Linked DNA regions of Drosophila melanogaster. The protein of the gene in region 1 purifies or fractionates together with the protein of each later gene. This does not show direct contact. Each region holds a gene or a part of one and is shown on either strand. Other genes may lie near its edges.

The links.
Region 2: the proteins of Sf3b6 (region 1) and Sf3b5 purify together in Drosophila melanogaster (affinity purification with mass spectrometry; 2 studies listed by BioGRID). This does not show direct contact.

What each region holds. Positions count from the first base shown.
Region 1 is NT_037436.4:6,191,516-6,195,341, reverse strand, and holds Sf3b6 (splicing factor 3b subunit 6), read left to right. Parts: upstream 1-2,162; 5' UTR 2,163-2,359; coding exon 2,360-2,377; intron 2,378-2,447; coding exon 2,448-2,566; intron 2,567-2,632; coding exon 2,633-2,861; 3' UTR 2,862-3,218; downstream 3,219-3,826. Other genes in the region: Tnpo (transportin), read right to left, coding at 1-369, 453-1,124, 1,192-1,290; CG7386 (uncharacterized protein), read right to left, coding at 3,482-3,826. UniProt on the Drosophila melanogaster protein: Involved in pre-mRNA splicing as a component of the splicing factor SF3B complex. SF3B complex is required for 'A' complex assembly formed by the stable binding of U2 snRNP to the branchpoint sequence (BPS) in pre-mRNA.
Region 2 is NT_033777.3:9,014,158-9,017,298, reverse strand, and holds Sf3b5 (splicing factor 3b subunit 5), read left to right. Parts: upstream 1-1,957; 5' UTR 1,958-2,034; coding exon 2,035-2,292; 3' UTR 2,293-2,327; downstream 2,328-3,141. Other genes in the region: CG11986 (uncharacterized protein), read right to left, coding at 578-964, 1,031-1,730, 1,780-1,799. UniProt on the Drosophila melanogaster protein: Involved in pre-mRNA splicing as component of spliceosome. As part of the spliceosome complex, plays a role in the regulation of spermatogonial differentiation.

The DNA.
Region 1 (3,826 bases):
GCGCAAGTTCCATTCCGATAGCGAGCTATCGTCGTCCATTCCATCTTCAAATTCGTCGTCGTCATCATCGCCTGTCGCTCCAGCTCCTCCCTCTTGTGTACTCCTGATTGTGTGTGCACGGGACTTGTGGAAACGCGGGCGGATATCCTCTTCTCGATCGGGCACCATGTCATCCTCCTCAACGTTTCCCTTGAGGAGAATTATGTCGACCTCTGAGTACCGCATGCCTCGTACAAGAACTGGCGCTAATTGAGCAAGATAAGGGGCAAGCACGTCCTTGCAGATGCTTTGCTCGGCCAGTGAAAGCCAGAACTCGGATGCTTCCAGGGCCACACCCTCATCGGTGTCCTGGGTGCGCAACAGCATGTACTAAAATTCGTTAAATAAGATATTTAAACAAAAATTTATCAGAATAATTATTATTAATTATATATTTTATTTTAAAGTTATACCTCAATAATCTGCGACATGTGCGGCATCAGACGGTCCATTCGCACCTCCAGCAGCATGACCAATCCGTGGCACACGTTTTTGCGCACCTCGTGGTCCTCATCTGATGACAGGTGAAAGAGGTTCTCAATGAAGCTGTCTATGTTTAGCATCAGAGCCTGTGATCTGTTGATGATGAACTGGTTGATGCAGGCAATGGCGTGGGAGCGGATCTTTGGACTGCTGTGCTTGAAGTACTCCAGGAACTTTGGAATCATTATGTTTAATGGCCTGTTGAGCGCTGCGGAATCCAAAATCTCGGCAGAGTCCTCGCAAATTTTCTGCAGGGCACTGAATGCGCCTTCGCACACATTATAGTCCTGGTTGTCGAGCATTTCGCAGAGAGATGGAAGCAGCTGCGGCCAGTTGTGCAGACCGCCATTGCTGGCGATGGTGGTAATCAGGATGCCCACGGTGGCACGGATCAGGGGCGAAGCGTCGCCCACTGCCTGCAGGCACTCGTGTTTGATATACTCCACGATCTCCGGCTGCAGAGTGGTGCCGTGCATGCGGATGTTGTTCTTGAGGATTAGGCCGCTGAGTGATCTCGTGGGCTCGTCCTCTGTCTTCAGTTTCGTCAGCACATAGATAAGATAGTTGTTGAAGTCGGGGTAGCGATTGAATTCCTCCAGTTTCTGTTGAGAAGGACACAATATGTGCATGCAGTTCGAGGAACCGTACCTGGTAGAAGTTATTACTCACCATCTGTACGGCCATTTGAGTGGCTGTGTCCGGTGACTGCGACTCCTTGAGGATCGCTATGATCTGCTGCAGACCTTCTCCCTGTGGTTCCCACGTCATTTTGCTGCTGCAAGGGAAGATCGCAAGGGTTTTAGGTTTGATTAGTGAATTCGGAATTAGAAATTAGGGTTAATGGCCTCGCAAAGGGTAGCAAATGGGGGAGAAAGAGAGAGCACGAGAGACACTCTGTTCGAGGCCACTCACGCACACCAGGGCATTTTGCACCCACACCCGCAAACAGACATCTGCTGTTGTGAAATTTACGTTTTCCGTTCGATGTTTCCTTGGCACTTAATGGTTTTACGGCGGAAGGCGGGAGTTGAAAGCCCTGCCCCGAGAGTAACGTGCGATTTTCTGCCCACAACCCCAGACAAAAAAAAACACACGAATAGAACTCGCCTGCCTCCGCCATATTTCGTGACATCGGGCGTGCGGTTGAAAACGCTTTTCCGAGATAAGTTCTGCGTTGTCCGCATACCCCCTACTTACCTTTGGGTGTTGGCTGTGCTTTAAAACTATTTTAGTTGGAATTTTCTTAAGATTTTGCGTAAATTGTCTCTTTTTTCACCTTTTCTTTGCACAATTAGCGAGATGTATACAGTGTGACCGTGCAAGAGAGAGGGAGTATGCTATTTTTTATTAGAGATGGCAACGTGTCGTCACGGGTTTTAAAATTATATTTAATGTAGTTGATTTTTTAATTTATTGTGCTTAATTTAATATTTTTAAGCAGCTTAAAATGTTTGAATCACTCTGATATATAATTTCCGAACAACAAATTATTTTATTGCCAAAATGAAAAAAAATGAATATTAAATCAAATTTTGCAGTCCAAAGCTGCTCCGATGTAACGAACTTCCTCTCACATATGTATCTAAGTGCTGCTGCACGGTCACACTCGATACGGCTCTCGAAATGCGTCCACACTCTCGCCATTTAGAGTGCCCACATTCGCCACCCTGTTCAATTTTGTTTGGGTTTGAGGCCAGACAGAGGAGTCATTAATTTTAAACAAAGGACCACGCTTCAGGACATTCATCCCGGGTCAGACAAAGCCGCCACACACTTTCCTCGAGGCCGAGTGAAAGTTTCTCGCCTTGTCGCCGCTTAACATCCGAAGCGACCGGACATGAACAAGCGCAACCATGTGAGCAGAAAACCTACGGCTCCACACACAAAGCAAATGTATTGAGTGAAAAGTGCTATTTCTTTTGCAGATCCGCCTGCCGCCAGAGGTGAATCGGCTATTGTACGTGCGGAACCTGCCGTACAAAATCACCTCGGACGAGATGTACGACATATTCGGCAAATTTGGAGCCATTCGACAGATACGCGTGTAAGATTGAAGATGATAATGCTATTCGCCGTGAATCCTCTCAATCAATTTGTGTATCTTTTGCAGAGGCAACACTCCGGAAACGCGTGGCACCGCCTTTGTCGTCTACGAGGACATTTTCGATGCCAAGAACGCCTGTGACCATTTATCGGGTTTTAATGTGTGCAATCGCTATCTGGTGGTGCTCTACTACCAATCCAACAAGGCCTTCAAGCGCGTGGACATGGACAAGAAACAGGAGGAACTGAACAACATTAAGGCCAAGTACAATCTGAAGACGCCTGAAGCTCCTTAGAACCCACACTTGGTGCGGCAGGCGGTGATGGGGCATAGCCAGACATTGGGCCCCACCAGATGACGCCCCCACTTCCATCGACCATTTTCCATTGTTTAGGGAACTTCTTGCTCTGCTTATGTGTATACCAAATTTTTGCTATCTACTTGTAGATTTTTTTGATCGCATTTTGTATCATTTGAATCTAATCATTATCATCCATCCATCACTCCATCTATCATATAAACGGCCGGATATCGCGGAACGCAGACATTTGCGCCCGGTTCCGACTGTTTGCAATCATTTGACGACATTAAGACACTCTCTCATCAAAATAACAAGCAAGTGAAAGTAAAAATAAAAAAAAATTGAAAAACTAGAATCGTTTGTTTCGATTTATGACCAATTTTTTTTAAAACTAGTTTTAGTCCAAAACCATTTGTAGTTATTCTAAAGTGTGTCATTTGGGTCAAGTTTATTTAACAACTTAGAAATAGGATAACAAGTAATAGTTAAATATTAACCAACAATAAAAATTCCCACTATTATGGGAAGTCTTTTGCCCTATGTAATCGTAAACTATTCTGCGATTAGGGTTCCTCCTTAAGGTCAGGACCAGTTTGGCTAGCTGCCGCTGCCTATTACTTTTCGTATGTGTCTTGCTGCTTCTCCAGTGCCAGTTGGTTCTTCAAATCCTTGAGCTCCTTCTTGGCGACCTTCGCAATTTCCTGCCGTAGTGCCTCAACCTTTTGTTTACGGTCATTTCTCTCCCCCAGAGGCTTCGCCGGCTTTTCGTCATGGACTTTTTGGTGTCGGATGAGCGCCGCTACCTGGCGAAAGCGATTGCCACACGTCTTACACTCGAAGGGCTTTTCGCCAGTGTGTATCCACTCGTGTTGCTTCACGGATTGCGAGTTGGCAAAGCGACGGGAGCAGAAACGGCACTCAAAGTCCTTGACTTTTTCGTGGACGCTCTTGTAGTGGCG
Region 2 (3,141 bases), on another chromosome or scaffold:
GTTCATACAACGTATAAATATATAAATAATTAAACAATTCGTAGCCTAATATACCACAAATTGATAGTTGTAAGCAACTCAGCAAGTGTACCACTTCCACGCTTTTCCCGCGAACAACATTGACACCATTTCCCATTAATTTTCGCTCATTTTTCGCCAAGGCAATCAGACGTAGACGAGCAAACAATATACGGTCGATATGTACACTTTACATGCTTTATGTGCAGCTTTTCATTTTGTTTTAATTGCATTTTATGCCGCGACAACAAAAACTTCCAAGCTCAATACAGTGGCGCTCAAAATTGAATCGCACTCGCAGAAATGAGACCATTTAATTAATTACGTCAAGTTCAAACATAACATTAGTTAGTTAACCTCACTTCGAGAGAACAAATTCTAAACAACTTTTTAGTCGCTAAGTCCCAACATTTGTAAGTAAGCTCACCACAACGATGATAATGCTTAAAACTTTGGTTATTGAGAATAAAAATTTTGGTTTTTACTGAAAATAAACTTAATGTACTACAAACTATGGAACTTTAGTTACTGATGAGGTTTATCTTTTGCCCGATTTCATCTAGCTGCCGCTGCTCTGCGGGGGAGCTGCCGTACGATTCCTCTTAAAGTCCCTGAATCTGGGTCGCTTGGCGGGCCTCTCTACGGGTGAGCCGTCAGCGGAGGTCCCTCCCATGGTCGTAGCTTCTTTTTCCTGATCCTCATCGTCGCTCTGTTTTGCTTTGATTTGATCTTCCCGCTTCTTACGGGCATTCAGCCAAGACATCATCGTTTTGTTCATCGGTGGCTTTGCGGGCTTAGCCGCCAATTCGATCGGCTTGTTGCACTCCTCGCTTTTGTTTCGCGAGTTGTTTACCAGCTTGGTAACACGATGCCACTGCAGTTCGGTAGCCGGACGCAATGTAGCCAAGGCCTCCTTGTCGCTAACTCGCTTAAAGTCCAGCCAATCCTAGAATATGCGAGGATGGGTAAATTGGACCTGGATTAACGAAGGATTAACAAATGCTTTACTCACATTCATCTGCTGCTCGGTTTCCAGGATCGCTGGCATGCGGTAGTGCATCCAGGACATAATTTTGCTGGACTGGAAGGTGATAATACTGTAGCTGTACATCTTGTCGCCACTTTCATCCTCCCAGACGTCAAAAAGTCCAGCCATTCGCAAAAGCTTCACATCCTGGGGCGACCATGTATTCTTGTCGTAGATCTTCACATCCGCCGCCTGGGGTACGAATACCAGGTAAGCCTCACGCTCCGATGGCTTCTTCGCAGGTCCAGCCGTCTGCCACTCATAGAATCCTTCGCAAATAACTACACACCGCTGACCTCGCTTGAAGGGACCGCGATAGAGCTTGGAGTCCATCAGGTGTTCCAGACGGCAATTGTTGGTGGTAAGGCCATGCCGCCGATAGTCACCCTTGTGCCAAAAGGGAATCATGCCCCACATCATGGGCGTTACCACGCGGGCGCACTCTTGATCCTCGGCGTCTGAAAAATGAGCTGCGGACACGATCACGGGCGTAATATCAGTAGGGGCTATGTTGTAGGAGGCCTGGTAGCGTCTACCCAGGTTGTATTCCGCCCTCCACTCGGGAGTCTCCATTTCGGATCCTTCCCCATCTTTCATATCATCTTTCTCTTTGAAATCCGGCTCCTTTCGAGTAGATTTTTTTGGATATTTACAGGCACAAATTACCTGATCAGGGTCTAGAGTTCTGAAGAGGCGTTTAATAGAAATGGTGAAAGAAAAAATTATATACCTACAGACAGGTGCGTCCACACATTGCTTATCAAAGTACTTGATAAATGAATAATTTATAAATGACAGCGAAATGTAAACAAATATTACGATTTTAAATACCAAGTTTGCCGCCTGTGTACTAAAATACCAAAGTGTCATGTACTAAAGTAATAAAAATACCAACATACAAAATTTCTGGCCACACCAAGACGCAAACAACAAAATAACACACTGCACATTAACTATTCCTCGCCTAATACTGAAACAACTTAAGCAAAATGGGTGAACGCTACAATATCCACAGCCAGCTGGAGCATCTACAAAGCAAGTACATCGGAACAGGACACGCGGATACCACAAAGTTCGAGTGGCTAACAAATCAACATCGCGACTCCTTGGCCAGCTACATGGGTCACTACGATATTCTCAACTACTTTGCCATAGCGGAAAATGAATCGAAGGCACGAGTGCGATTTAATCTGATGGAGCGAATGCTGCAGCCATGTGGGCCACCACCAGAAAAGCTAGAGGATTAAGAAAAACTATTTTAATAATAAAGAAAATAATTGACAAGACAATGTAATTTTCCAAGGGTGGATTTTCGGATAAATTCCAACTTCTGTAGTTATCGACATTCGGTATTTTGCGCTCAAGCGGCAAACGGTCGCACTGCAGGTCAGGAAAAGCTTTTCACTCGATATAATATAACTTATTTTCGTTTCAATTGTTCATTTTCGAGGTCTAGTGTTATAAAGTTATCGTAAAGTAGCCAATGCCGCACCAAAGTAAAGTACGTTGTCGTGTTATCCCCAAAATAGAACGAATCAATAACTTATCAAATCCCTAACGAAATCGGTGTGAAGCAAAACGGTAAAACTGCAATACAGCAGCCCCACAACAACAATAACACATCGCGAGCGGAGCATCTTGTGCGAAATATCGCGGCGAACAAAAGAGATCAGATCCCAGGCGCAATTTGCAATTGCGTAGAACAGAATACACATATTGGTGTCTGCACATAGACACATAGCACACCAGTGCAAAATGCTTGTGTATATGTCAAGATGGGTGTACGAAAATTGCGCGCCGATGAACAATGTGCCGAAAAACAAGAGCAAGATACAGACAACGCATTAGCATATAAATAGTGACAAAACTAAAACAGACCTACTGTTATTTCCCAGCTGCCCAAATCAGCCTGTCTGCCCAAAGTTCTTGCAAAAGCTCTTCTTAACCAAATGGGGACCGCGTCTATTTGTACGGCCGCCACTGTGCCATGACTGGCGGCGTTGCCAGATGTATGTGAGAAAAAGCGTAATTCACCAACTGAGTGCTCATGACATGATTAACGCGAAAAGTCTGCATAATTCCCCGTGTGTGTGAAG